2 linked regions of the Macaca mulatta genome follow. The protein of the gene in region 1 purifies or fractionates together with the protein of each later gene. This does not show direct contact. Links are inferred from orthologs where the notes say so. Each region holds a gene or a part of one and is shown in the gene's direction. Other genes may lie near its edges.

Region 1 (7,081 bases):
CTCTACAACTACTTCACAGATTAGCGACACCTAGAAGAAAAAAATATCAGTGAAATCATGTCTTAATTCCATAGGGTTTTTACAAAAATACTTGACTTTTACCCACCTACATCACCAGACTTGGGCTCAAACAGCAGTTTTGTTATTTTCAAATAAAAACTATCCTCAAAGGATGATTACTATTTAAAAATTCTAAAAATAACTATGGCCCAGGAAGGGAAAACTTTTAGAAGCCTTAAGGTGACTGTTACACAGAGAACAATGCTATGGAATGTGTACGTTTATGTGTCTTTCAAAATAAAAACAGTGCCATTACCGTATTTCAGAGCCTGTCATCACCCTGGTGCAGCAGCGCACCCTGGCTGCTGAAAGGCTGCTAGTCCAAGTTTCCTCGGGGTGTACCCTCAACGAAACACACCGCCGGGAGGGGGAGGAGTGAAGAAGCCCTTGGAGAAAGGGCAGAGGCCAGATCAGAATCAACATCTATTCGAACTGGCACACAGAAGGCCTTAATGTGGTTACTGGTTAGTAGTAAGCACCCCGATCTTCCAGTCCCCTTTTCCTCCCCATCTAAGGATTTTGACTCCAAGTAAAGGCCCCTATAGGATAGTATCTAACGGAGGGACTTTTTGTGCCACGTTGATTTATTCTGTTTCTAGAGTGGCAGTCTCACGTCTGGGGGACTTTGCGTCACCAGACAGCAAGGGGCTGCAAACTATGCATCTATCCCTCCTTCCCCGCCAAAAAAACCCCCAAAACAAAACAAAAACACTACGCATGTTGGTTACAAGTCTGACTCCCCTATGCACTCCTAAAGCAGTAACAAAAACGGTCTCCTCGTGCTGGGGCCTATGTGCCAGGAACCATGACAGGACTCCATGCACAGTATCCTTTGTAAGAGACAGCTGAGAGTCCTCATTTACACCTGGGGAAACAAGTTCAGAGAGGCGCAGTGACTAGCGCAAGGTCATCTGGCCAGGGCAGCAGCGTGGCTGAAGCCGGAGCCCGCTCCGGGGGTGTGTCTGTCAATGGACTGTAAAAGACAAGTCCCAACAGGACCCTGCCTCCTGGGCTGTTGGCGAATTTAAAGTTGGGACGCACGAAGTCGCGGCCAGCGGCGGGGCCCCCTGGAAGTCGCAGCCCGATAAGCGGTAACTGTTGTTTATCAGTTGCAGTGAGCCTCACTGCGTAGCAAGGGAAAGTGAGTCAGGGGAAAGACGTGGGAGGCGACAGCTAGTCCTGGCTGCGTAGAACCCCGCGGCCGCCGCTCCAGCCCAGGCCTCCCCCGAGTCGGCATTCCGCGTGTCCCCTCGTTTGTCCCTACCTTCTTGTGATAGAGTCGGGCCGGGGCCGATAGCTCCCGGGCGGGCAGGCGGGGGCTCCGGAGCAGCAGAGCCGACGCTGCCCGCCTCAGACGGCCAGCTCCAGCTGCCGCCATCTTGCCGGCTTGCGCCTGCGCCAGTCCAGAGCGATGCCGAGGGGCGGGGCGCGTCTGCGAGTCGGCGCCGAGCTGGGAGCGCGCCTCTCTGGCGTCACCGAGGCTTTGCGCCTGCGCCTTACCGTTCCGTGCAAGCCTCCGCCCTGTGGCCCCGCCTTGACCACGCCTCTCGGGGGCGGGCGGGGTCGGGAGCGGGAAGGTCTGAAGTCGCTAGAGGGCTTGTCCTGGGTGCTGGATTCTGGTTGAGAGAGGATCTCAGGCTTCTGCAGTGTGGGAATGCGGCGCAGAGGACCACTGAGTCCACTTTTCCTAACCCTATTTTGCAGCTAAGGAAGCTGAGATTCAGGGCAGTTTGGTCACTCCGTCCAAGGTCGCTTAGGGCTTAGGTTCAATTAGAATTCGAACTTGGGTAGTCCTGGGTTAGAATCCTGGTTCGGTTCCTTCCTGGCTGTGTGTCCCTAGACAAATGGTACCGGCTTGCTAAGTCTGAATCTTCCCTTTTGTATTAATTCGAGGACAATTCCTTCATCATGAAGCCAGCATCTGTGTCGAGTACCTACTATGTGTCAAGGCACTCTACTAGACCCGGGGATCCAACAGAAAGCAAAACAGACGTAATTCCTGCCTATTAAGCTTGCTAATGAGGGAGCAAGGTAGAGATAGAGACACACTCCAGTACTTGCCTACCTCAACAATGGGAAGCTTAAGAAGGAAACGAACACCATGTCCTGATTGAAAAAAAATGAGTATATGTCTATTTTTCTCTCTAAAACAACAGCAAATTCAATTTATATGTCGGTGCCTAGCAATTAAGAATTTCTAAAGAAATGCGTATTTACTGTTGGTTTGCAGTATGTGAGCTTATAAAACCGGAAAACTCAAGTGTATTTAACGCCTCCTAGGTACCAGATGTTTACATAAAGGGGAAGAATTTCTTTGGGAAATGGATTTTTCTCTTGAATGGTGAAATCGATCCTTCCCCGAGGACCTGCAGTTTTCTTTGCGTTTGAGGTGCAGTTGCTGGGGAGACTAAACCCAAGCGCCAGGTCACGCTAGGCGATAAGTAAGGTATTTTTTCTAAGAATCACTTTGACCTTCTCAAGATGGCGCCAAATTCTTTACTACAGACACCACGCTCGCTCCATGACTTCCTCTATGGCCTCCACTTCCTGCCCAAAGACCCAACTTCTGTCCGAAGTTGTGACGGAACGTATGCCATGATAATGAGTTTTTTCTCTGGTGGGAGTTTTTACAGGGGTATAAAATAAAATGAATTTAGTGTATTTGGAGATTTTCTCGTTATCTAAGGTTCCCAGTTTCCCTTTCAGTGTCAAGAAAACGGGCTTTTGATAAGGCGCGCGCCGCGGGCAGCTTCTGCCTCAGCGGGTCTTTGGCGGCCGCGGGAAGACCCGAGAGTCATTAGAAGCGCAAGATGGCGACTGCGGCCGCAACCTCGGCTTCAGAACCTGAGGCTGAGTCCAAGGCTGGGCCCAAGGCTGACGGAGAGGAGGATGAGGTTAAGGCGGCGAGGACAAGAAGGAAGGTGTTATCGCGGGCTGTGGCCGCTGCGACATACAAGACCGTGGGGCCAGGGTGGGATCAGCAGGAGGAAGGCGTGAGCGAGAGCGATGGGGATGAGTACGCCATGGCTTCCTCCGCGGAGAGCTCCCCCGGGGAGTACGAGTGGGAATATGACGAAGAGGAGGAGAAGAACCAGCTGGAGATTGAGAGACTGGAGGAGCAGGTGGGCCCGGGGGTGGGCAGCGGGCACCTTCCAGTCTTTCAGGTCCTCAGGTCCCCGTGTCCTGGCCCGCCTCCCTAGTCCTCGGCGGCCATAAAGCCGCCAAGGCTGCAAACCCCTTTTTCATGACCGTAGCTCCTGTCATTTGAGTGCTTACTGCGTGCCCGGTGCTTTGCAAATGTTATCCCATTGAATCCTCCTCACCACCCTGTGAAGGAAGCCCTGTTATCTATCCCCATTTTATTGGAGGAAACTGAGGTTCGTGGAGGAAAGTCTCTTGCTCAAGATAATACTTCCTGCAAGTCAGGCCTCGTACTTTGATCCCATTCCAGAACTCCCCCTCGTAGCCACACGTCCAACAGTAGAAATACACTCGTTCACAAGAGACTGTTACTTTGTTGTGTAGGAATGACGGCGGTGATGAAACTTGTGGTAGGAAAAATATTGACCGCGATGGTGATAATAGAAATGGAAAGGTTTGCTGGTTCTGGAGGTTAAGGCCTCAGTTCTAGCTGTTCCACCCTTGTATGTCCTTGTGAGAATTTCTTAATTTCTCTGATCCTCTCGGCTTCCTCATCTGCAGATTGGGAGCAACAATGTCTGCATAATATAATTGTTGTAACAGTATCTATAGTCCAGTGCCTAGCATCTAGTCATAACATGGTCTTTCGTTTGTAACCTTACGAGGTGGTGATATCTACTGTATAATCCAGGATCTCAGCAGGAAATAGGTGGCACATTTAGATTAGGATGATCTGAGAGAAAGTAAGGGTGTGGGTAGGGAAATCAGGAGTGAAGGTTTAGTATCCCATGGCTAGTAACTCCAGAACCTGGTGTCCATCTTTGGGCCTGAAGGGGTGAAGGGAATGATCTGAGTTGTGTAGAGAGGGCACCTGAGACCTGCTGATAACTTTGTTCAAGGGATGCAGCCCCAGTTTCCTGTCAAGGATTGGGGTGGGGGAAGAAATACCTTGACCTCCCTTTCTTCCTTCCACCAAACTTCCCCTGCTGGTGCCTTCTGCTGGGCAGACCCATCTGGAAGCTGAAGAGCCAGAAAACCTGTATATGGGGTCTATACTCGGGGACACAGGGCAGGGAGGAGAGGGTAGGGTGTGTTTGGAGGGGGCAAACAGAAGAGATGGAGCACATTCTCTTTTTTTTTTTTGAGACAAGAGTCTCGCCCCGTCATCCAGGCTGGAGTGCAGTGGCACCATCTCGTCTCACTGCAAACTCTGCCTCCCTGGTTGAAGCGATTCTTCTGCCTCAGCCTTCCCAGTAGCTGGGATCCAGGCATGCCCCATTGCGCCCGGCTAATTTCTGTATTTTTAGTAGAGATGGAGTTTCACCATGTTGGCCGGGCTTCTCTTGAATTCCTGACCTCAGGGGATCCACGCACCTTGGCCTCCCATAGTGCTGGGGTTACAGGCCTGAGCCACTACGCCCGGCCCACATTCTCTTTTTACAGATGAAGAAACAGAGGTTCAGAACAAATGATGAAATGATTTGCTTTAAGTCGTTCATAGTGGGATTTACACTGAAAATGTGGACTAGATGCCACACTGGATGTGAAATCACTCAGGGAATGTGAAGTTGCTAATCTAGGTTACTCATTAAACGTTGCTGAGTGTCAGTTTCCTTATAATACTCCCTCTGGCACTGATATTTTTGTTACATTATGAGATAGTGATGTCATCCATTGGTATAGCTTGTCCCACCCATTACATTTGATTGACAGAGGAACCAGTTGGGGTTGGCAGGTAGTTACCATTTCCACTTTTTATAAATAAGTGTACTGAAGCTAATTTAGTCTTATTCAGCAAGTACAGCGTGACACTGCGTACCAGATTGACTGTGTCCCTGCCCTTGTTGATATCATTTCTTCAGACTGCTAGTCCTGGGCCTTTCGATGAGCCTATTCTGTGACGTGGGGGAAAGAGAGGTTTGGGACCAGAGAGGTTAAGTCCTTGATGAGGGTACACAGCTTGCTAAGGAGCAAGAAAGGGGAGAGCAGAGGTCTCCTGGCCACTAGTACTCTGCAGTTGCCTGTCCTGCCACAAATCACCAAGGGTGGAATGGAGTTTAGAATGTGACCACACAGGATGGGACCTGGCAAGTGATGAATTGAAGACCCTCTGGCCTTATGCTCTCTGTCCTGGGGTCTAGAAATGGACTTTTCCAATTTCTCCAAGCCTCCCACCCACCTCACCTGGTCCCACAGCTGCTGCTTCCTGCCGTAGCTGCTCTTATGGTAGAGCATCATGATGAATCGCTTCCAAATAGGTCTGGGAGAAACTTGGCCTCGCCATATTTGAAAGTTCTGGTTCTCATACCTGAGTGTTTCTGAGAGAGCGTCTCACTCTTGCCCAGGCTGGAGTAGTGGCGTGATCATGGCTCACTGCAGCTGGGACCTCCCAGGCTCAAGTGATCCTCCCAGCTCATCCTTCAAAGTAGCTCGGACTACAGGCATGAGCCCCCACGCCTGGCTAATTAAAATTTATTTTTGTAGAGATGGGTTCTTACTATGTTGCCCAGGTAGATGTTGAATTCCTGAGCTCAAGTCATCCTCCTGCCTCAGTGTCCCAAAGTTCTCAGATCACAGGCACAAGCTACCACACGTGGCCACGATTATATTTTATGGAAGCTGGCAGTTTGCTATGGTATCTGTGTAACAAAAGCAAATATTTTCCATTATTTGTGTTTGTGTGCTGAAACTAAAAGTGGCACTTCATGGTCGCTTCAGCAGATTTGTCAGTGCAGCAGTACAGAGACTATGGCTTTGCAACCCTGTGTGATCCCCAGCCTTCCATTGAGTAGTGGAAAGGCCTTGTAACAAGTTATTTCAGCTCGCAGAGCCTTGGGTGTCCCAGTTAGTAAAATGAAGGTTGTAATAGTGCTTTCCTCACAAGGCTGTTGTGGGGTGACTCACAGGCACAATGTGGGTAAAGCTCCTGGCACGGTTTGGTATGTGATAGTTGCTGCTCCATTCTCCCTTCCCTGCCTTTCCCTTGATCGCACCAGTTGTTTTCTTTCCATCAGACCTCTCTTATTTCTCCCCCTTTCTAGTACAGGTAGGTGTAACACTTTCTTCACATTGCTAGGGAGTTCAATCAGTTAACGTATCATTTTGTGATTGGTTAAGTTTCCTTTAAAGCATCTATGTTATTAATCCCAGCTACTGGGGAGGCTGAGGCAGGAGAATCACTTGAACCTGGGAGGCAGAGGTTGCAGTAAGCTGAGATCACACCACTGCACTCCAGCCTGGGTGACAGAGCAAGACTCCATCTCAAAAAAAAAAAAAAAAAAAAAGTCATTAATGATGTTCTAAGACCAGAATAGACCAGCATATTTATCATTTCTCAGTATAGGTTGAACTATGTAGAAATAGCTCTTTTAAATGCATTTCAATATGTATTTAATATATGTACTTTCAGAGTATTTGTCCTTATATGGCAACTTCATCATTTTACCCTGAAAATCAGAAGTTTACACCAAAAGCCACACCTTAAAGGCAGCTTCTTGACTTTAGCGACTTTTACAGCTTTTTCTTCTGCTGATCTACACATGGTATTCATGTGAGGGGTGCTTGCATACATAGATATTCGTGACACTGACTGGCAAGTGCTCTCCCACTCCTGTTCGTGCTCCACAAGCACCTCTAGTGAGTTCAGAGTGGTGATGTGGCGCGGAGAGCCTTGAATGTTCTTTAATGAAGAAAGTATATCCTTCTCAAACTTCATTTCTCAAATATCCCAAACTGCGGTTACTTTGTGTGACACACTTGATACGTGATTTTGAAACATCAGTGTGTCATGGTAGCCCATTTAAGAACCAGAGCTTTAGCCCAGCTCTTTCATGGTACAAACGAGGAAACAGAACAAGTGGGGATTAGAACACTTGTGTCC
Region 2 (7,071 bases), on another chromosome or scaffold:
GTTATTTCCAGCCACCCTAACATTCTTTTTCCTGTGTGGATGCTTATTTGTCAATCAGTAAATTTGTTCCTAAAGGAAATTACTTCTGGTATTTAGGCTGTGAATGTACCTCGAAGGGGAGAGTTCATGGAGAGAGCATGTGTTCTCTGATTGTGAGCTCACTGTGAATGATTAAATTAGTAAGGGTAAAGTATTTGAATTTTCATGAACTCATTGGGTTTTTTTTTCTTTTCTTTTCTTTTTTTTTTTTTTGAGATGAAGTCTTGCCCTGTCGCCCAGGCTGGAGTACAGTGGCACAATCTCGGCTCACTGCAAGCTCTGCTTCCCGGGTTCACGCCATTCTCCTGCCTCAGCCTCCCAAGTAGCTGGGACTGCAGGCGTCCACCACCATGCCCGGCTAATTTTTTGTATTGTTTTAGTAGAGATGGGGTTTCACCATGTTAGCCAGGATGGTCTCAATCTCCTGACCTCAGAATCTGCCCACCTCAGCCTCCCAAAGTGCTGGGATTACAGGTGTGAGCCACCGCGCCCGGCCCATGAACTCATTGTTTCAATCAGCACATAATTTTTGATCCTCAGATACCTTTAGCACAGATGGAACAGATTGTAAACTATAACTGCTTTTAATCAGTTACAGGCTGGTTTTGGTGTTTAGGACTCAGCTTGGGGTGGAGGGACAAATCCTGCTTGATGTCCTGATGTATAGGTAAGGTCCAGGAGGTTCAGCATCTGTGCACTCACAGAGTTCATTGTTTACATTCATTATATGGAGAAAATATTTCTTTTCTTTCTTTCTTTTTTTTTTTTTTTGGAGACAGAGTTTCACTCTTGTCGCCCAGGCTGGAGTGCAATGGCACGACCTTGGCTCACTGCAACCTTCGCCTCCCGGATTCAAGCAATTCTTCTGCCTCAGCCTCCTGAGTAGCTGGGATTACAGGCGCTCACCACTACACTCAGCTAATGTTTGTGTTTTTAGTAGAGATGGGGTTTCACCATGTTGACGAGGCTGTTCTGAACTCCTGACCTAGGTGATACACCCACCTCAGCCTCCTAAAGTGCTGGGATTATAGGCGTGAGCCACCATGCCTAGCCCCAGAAAATATTTCTATAACAAACTCTTGACAAATAAGTACTTCTATGCAAGATGACAAATATAAGTTTATGAAGTCTTAGTCCATGAAAAAATATTTTTACCGGCCGGGTGCAGTGGCTCACACCTGTTATCCCAGCACTTTGGGAGGCCGAGGTGGGTGGATCATGAGGTCAAGAGATCGAGACCATCCTGCCCAACATGGTGAAACCTCGTCACTACTAAAAATACAAAAATTAGCTGAGCATGGTGGTGCACGCCTGTAGTCCCAGCTACTCGGGAGGGTGAGGCAGAGGAATTGCTTGAACCTGGGTTGTGGAGGTTGCAGTGAGCTGAGATCGTGGCACCGCACTCCAGCCTGATGACAGAGCAAGACTGCATCTCAAAAAAATTTGTTTTCTTTTACCTGTGTCCTAATATACATTTATAAAAACCTGGGGGACATGAGTTAGAATGATATGTAACTGTGCATTTCTGTCTGTGTTTGAAACATTTGGCAGTGAAATGTTAGACTGGGTTATTTGCATCTGTAAGCCACAGTCTCTTTTTACTCAGTCCTTTACAGGACAGTCTTGGCAAAAGTGTGTAAGAAATATGGAGATTGAGGTTGGCTCCTTTGGAGAAATATATTTATTGGTAACCTTTGATAAAACCAAAATTTGTGCTCCAGCTCCTTATCTCTGGGACTCCTCAACATTTTTTTGTTTTTTATAATTTTCTTTTTTATAGACAGAGTCTTGCCCAGGCTGGAATGCAGTGGGGAGATCGTAGCTCACTGTAACTCTTGGGTTCAAATGATCCTCCTGCCTCAGCCTCCCAAAATGCTGGGATTTACAAGCCTCAACATTTTGTTGTTGTTGTTGTTTTGAGACAAGAGTTTCACTGTTGTTGCCCAGGCTGGAGTACAATGGCACGATCTCCACTCACTGCAACTTATACCTCCCGGGTTTACAGGCGCGTGCCACCACACCTGGCTAATTTTTGGGTTTTTAGTAGAGACAGGATTTCGCCATGTTGGCCAGGCTGGTCTAGAACTCCTGACCTCAGGTGATCCATTTGCCTTGGCCTCCCAAAGTGCGGGATTATAGGCGTCAGCCACTGCGCCCGGTCAATTTTTTTTTTTTTTTTTTTTTTTAAGACGGAGTCTCTCTCTGTCACCCAGGCTGGAGTGCGGTGGCCGGATCTCAGCTCACTGCAAGCTCCGCCTCCCGGGTTCACGCCATTCTCCTGCCTCAGCCTCCCGAGTAGCTGGGACTACAGGCACCCGCCACCTCGCCCGGCTAGTTTTTTGTATTTTTTAGTAGAGACGGGGTTTCACCGTGTTAGCCAGGATGGTCTCGATCTCCTGACCTCGTGATCCGCCCGTCTCGGCCTCCCAAAGTGCTGGGATTACAGGCGTGAGCCACCGCGCCCGGCCAATTTTTTTTTTTTTTTTGAGACGAGTCTCGCTCTGTCGCCCAGGCTGCAGTGCAGTGGCATGATCTTGGCTCCCTGCAACCTCCACCTCCCGGGTTCACGCAATTCTCCTTCCTCAGCCTCCCGAGTAGCTGGGATTACAGGCGCCCGCGACCACGCCTGGCTAATTTTTTTTGTATTTTTAGTGAAGACGGGACTTCACCATGTTGGCTAGCCTGGTCTCGAACTCCTGACCTCACACAATCCATCCACCTTGGCCTCTCAGAGTGCTGGGATTGAAGGCGTGAGCCACCGCCCTCGGCCTTTTTTTTTTTTATCAGCTGAATTTAAGATTAAAAACATTTTTTAATTTTATTTTTTGAATTTTATGTTTTTACTTTAACAAATATAGAAAAGTGCACACTTCATAATCTTCACAAACTCCCCACAATTCTCGATAGGATGTGTGTAGAGGGCACGAACACATCACGCTGTGGACGGCAGGGTTATGGAAAACAAAACCTTTTGAGCTCAGACGCCGAGTGCCTCCACCCGCCTAGCAGCCCAGGCTAGGGTCCGCGCCTGCGCAATGGGAGCCGGCCGGCCCTGGAAGAAGTCGGAACGAAGGAAACCCCGCCCCTTTCCCGGCTTCCTCCTCCCCTCGGTTTTACCCAGCTTGCGCTCCCCAGCCGCAAGTCGGCCGCGCTTTACCCTTCAGCGCTTGGAGGGTTCTGCGTCCCTTCCCGCTGCGCCTGCGCGGTCCCGCCTCGCCCCACGCGCGGGCTCGCGCTTCGGTTCTCCCAGACCTGGTCTCAGCATCCGGCTCTTTTCTCGCTCCGGCCCGCTGCCCGCTGCGCCAGCACCATGGTGGGTACCGTGACGTCAAAAGGGGTCGCCCTCGGGGATCTCGGACGGTTGGGGCAGGGGGGTCTGGCCTTTGTCCCCCTAGGCTGGAGTTAGGTCCGGAGTTTTTATCTTCATCGTTAGTCCTGTTCCTCAAGTTCGTTGAGGAGACACCTGAGAGCAAATGGGATTTTTTTTTTCCATGATGAGGAAAAAAACCCCAACCCTGAGAGAGATTCAGTGGGGACAGCGGGAGACGGAAAAGTTAGACCTTAGAGCACTTCTCTGCCAGGCAAGCTTCGGCAGGGTGCGGGTGGGATGTTTTCTGTAATTCATTGAAAGGAGTGGGCAGGTACCCGAGAAAGGTGGTCGATTGAGAGAGCACACTGGGGAGGCCGAGGTATGCAGGGCAGAGCCTCTCTGGGACTTTAAGTGATGGGCTCAATGCAGTGTGCAGAATAATTTGGGCTCCAGCCTTTCACCTCTCAACCAATTATTCTTTCCTGTGAAATTTTGAGAACTGTTAGGGATGCAATGGGGTTCACAATACCGGTATTTGGTAATACTGTCAAGGGACACTCCTCCCTACCATGTTCCTTCCCACATGATGGTTTTCCCCCTCTCTCCCAATAGCTCTTCTATTCTTTTTTCAAGTCCCTTGTGGGCAAGGATGTGGTCGTGGAACTCAAGAATGACCTGAGGTAGGTACCTGTTCCAACAAGTCTGTTGGGGGTGGGTGTGCCCAGGGCCCTGGAACCTCTTTAATTTGAGAAATATTTGAGGGCTGGGTGAGGTGGAATATGTACAGAAGAAATAAATGGCCGGGTGCGGTGGCTCACGCCTGTAATCTCAGCACTTTGGGAGGCTGAGGTGGGCGGATCACGAGGTCAGGAGATCAAGACCATCCTGGCTAACACGGTGAAACCCTGTCTCTACTAAAAATACAAAAAATTAGCCAGGCATGGTGGCAGGCCCCTGTAGTCCCAGCTACTTTGGAGGCTGAGGCAGGAGAATGGCGTGAACCTGGGAGGCAGAGCTTGCAGTGAGCCCAGATCACGCCACTGCACTCCAGCCTGGGTGACAGAGCGAGGCTCTGTCTCAAACAAACAAAAGAAATAAATGGGTGGGGTGCAGTGGCTCACGCCTGTAATCCGAGCACTTTGGGAGACTGAGGAGGGAGGATTGCTTGAGCCCAGGAGTTTGAGGCTGCAGTGAGCAGTGATTACTCCATTGCACTCTAGCCAGGGCAATAGAGCAAGACCCCATCTCTAAGACAAATTTTAAAATTTAACAATAAATAAATGCCTTGTGCCTTAAATTTACAGATAAGCTTGGGGATTGTATTGTGTATTGGAAAACAATACAAAGCAATATACAGTTTAAAGAGTAAATACTGGTCAGGTGTGGTGGCTCATGGGCTGGACGTGTGGCTCATGCCTGTAATCCCAGCACTTTGGGAGGCCGAGGTGGGTGAATCACGAGGTCAGGAGTTCAAGACCAGTCTGGCCAAGATGGTGAAACCCCGTCTCTACTAAAAATACAAAAATTAGCCAGGCATGGTGGCAGGTGCCTGTAATCCCAGCTACTTGGGAGGCTGAGGCAGGAAAATCGCTTGAACCTGGGTGGCAGAGGTTGCAGTGAGCTGAGATTACACCACTGCACTCCAGCCTGGGTGACAGAGTGAGACTCTGTCTCAAAAAAAATAAATAAAGAGTAAGTACTAGGCTGGCCATGGTGGCTCACACCTGTAATCTCAGCACTTTGGGAGGCTGAGGCAGGAGGATCACTTGAGTCCAGGATGTCGAGACTAGCCTGGGCAACATAGAACCATTTCTATAAAAGATTAGCCAGATGTGGTTTACATGCCTGTAGTCCCAGCTATTCGGGAGACTGAGGTGGGAGGATCACTTGAACCCAGGAGGTCGAGGCTGCAGTGAGCCATGATTGTACCACTTTACTCCAGCCTGGGTGACAGAGGAAGACTGTCTCAAAAAAGAACAGGCCAGGCCAGGCGCAGTGGCTCACGCCTGTAATCCCAGCACTTTCGGAGGCCGAGGTGGGCGGATCACGAGGTCAGGAGATTGAGACCATCCTGCCTAACATGGTGAAACCCCATCTCTACTAAAAATACAAAAAATTAGCCTGGTGTGGTGGCGGGCGCCTGTAGTTCCAGCTACTTGGGAGGCTGAGGCAGGAGAATGGCATGAACCCAGGAGGTGGAGCTTGCAGTGAGCCAAGATGGCACCACTGCACTCCAGCCTGGGCGACCAGAGCGAGACTCCATCTCAAAAAAATAAACAAAAAAACAGAACAGGCCATAGGCTGGGCATGGTGGCTCATGCCTGTAATCCCAGCACTTTGGGAGGCTGAGGTGGGTGGATCACAAGGTCAAGAGATTGAGACCAGCCTGGCCAACATGGTGAAACCTACGTATTAGATATGCTACTGTGTATCTAATACCTAGTATAGGCCAGTTGTATGATAGGTGCTTAAGGAAAGAAAAATAATATCTGAAGACCTATTGACTAAGCACTATTCTGAATACATTTATTGATTGATTTCTCAAACACTCCTTAGTAATATGTACTATTGCTGTTATACATATGAGGAAACTGAGGCTTAGATCAGCTATACCACTTGTTCAAGTCTACAAAACTAGTAAGTGATACAGAACAGAAATATGATTATGTCCAGCTTTTTTCTTTTTCTTTTTCTTTTTTCTTTTTTTTTTTTGAGATAGTCTCGCTCTGTCGCCCAGGCTGGAATGCAGTGGTGTGATCTCTGCTCACTGTAAGCTCTGCCTCCCGGGTTCATGCCATTCTCCTGCCTCAGCCTCCCCAGCAGCTGGAACTATAGGCGCCTGCCACCACACCTGGCTAATTTTTGTATTTTTAGTAGAGACGGGGTTTCACCGTGTTAGCCAGGATGGTCTTGATCTCCTGACCTTGTGATCCGCCTGCCTCGGCCTCCCAAAGTGCTGGGATTACAGGCGTGAGCCACTGCGCCTGGCTTTTTTTTTTTTTTTTTTTGAGATGGAGTCTCTGTCACCTACGCTGGAGTGCAGTGGCGCGATCTCGGCTCACTGCAGCCTCCGCTTCCTGGGCTGAAGCAATTCTCTGCCTCAGCCTCCCGAGTAGCTGTGATTACAGGCGTCCACCACTATGCCTAGCTAATTCTTGTATTTTTAGTGGAGAAGGGGTTTCACCATCTAGGCTAGGCTGGTCTTGAACTCTTGACCTTGTGATCCACCCGCCTTGGCCTCCCAAAGTGATGGGATTACAGGTGTGAGCCACTGCACCTAGTCCTATTTTCTTTCTTAAAATAATATTTATTTATTTAAAAATTAGAGACAGTGTCTCGCTTTGTTACTCAGGCTGGTTTCAAACTCTTGAGTTCAAGCAATCCTCTTGCTTCAGCTTTCCGAAGTGCTGGGGTTACAGGCATGAGCCAGCATGCCTGGCCCTGTACTTATCTGTACAGTCCTTTAAATGATATGTACATTTAGGCCAGATGCAGTGGCCCACACCTGTAATCCCAGCACTTTGGGAAGTCAAGGCGGGCAGATGCCTGAGGTCAGGAGTTTGAGACCAGCTTGTCCAATATGGTGAAACCCCCATCTCTACTAAAAATACAAAAATCAGCCAGGCGTGGTGTTGTGTGCCTGTAATCCCAGCTGTTCGGGAGGCTGATGCAGGAGAATTGCTTGAACCCAGAAGGCGGACGTTGTAGTGAGCTGAGATCAG

The links. Proteins that work in one complex are often made in the same cells at the same time.
Region 2: the proteins of SART3 (region 1) and LSM2 purify together in Homo sapiens (affinity purification with mass spectrometry; 3 studies listed by BioGRID and IntAct, counting the BioPlex papers as one, with this or other methods). This does not show direct contact. The link is inferred for Macaca mulatta from reciprocal best matches to the Homo sapiens genes SART3 and LSM2.

What each region holds. Positions count from the first base shown.
Region 1 is NC_133416.1:115,685,445-115,692,525, reverse strand, and holds the start of SART3 (spliceosome associated factor 3, U4/U6 recycling protein), read left to right. Parts: upstream 1-2,859; 5' UTR 2,860-2,870; coding exon 2,871-3,182; exon of another isoform or gene 3,183-4,489; intron 4,490-6,283; exon of another isoform or gene 6,284-6,406; intron 6,407-7,081. Other genes in the region: iron-sulfur cluster assembly enzyme ISCU, read right to left, coding at 1,325-1,438. UniProt on the Homo sapiens protein: U6 snRNP-binding protein that functions as a recycling factor of the splicing machinery. Promotes the initial reassembly of U4 and U6 snRNPs following their ejection from the spliceosome during its maturation.
Region 2 is NC_133409.1:150,507,526-150,514,596, forward strand, and holds the start of LSM2 (U6 snRNA-associated Sm-like protein LSm2), read left to right. Parts: upstream 1-3,139; 5' UTR 3,140-3,349; coding exon 3,350-3,352; intron 3,353-3,961; coding exon 3,962-4,029; intron 4,030-7,071. UniProt on the Homo sapiens protein: Plays a role in pre-mRNA splicing as component of the U4/U6-U5 tri-snRNP complex that is involved in spliceosome assembly, and as component of the precatalytic spliceosome (spliceosome B complex).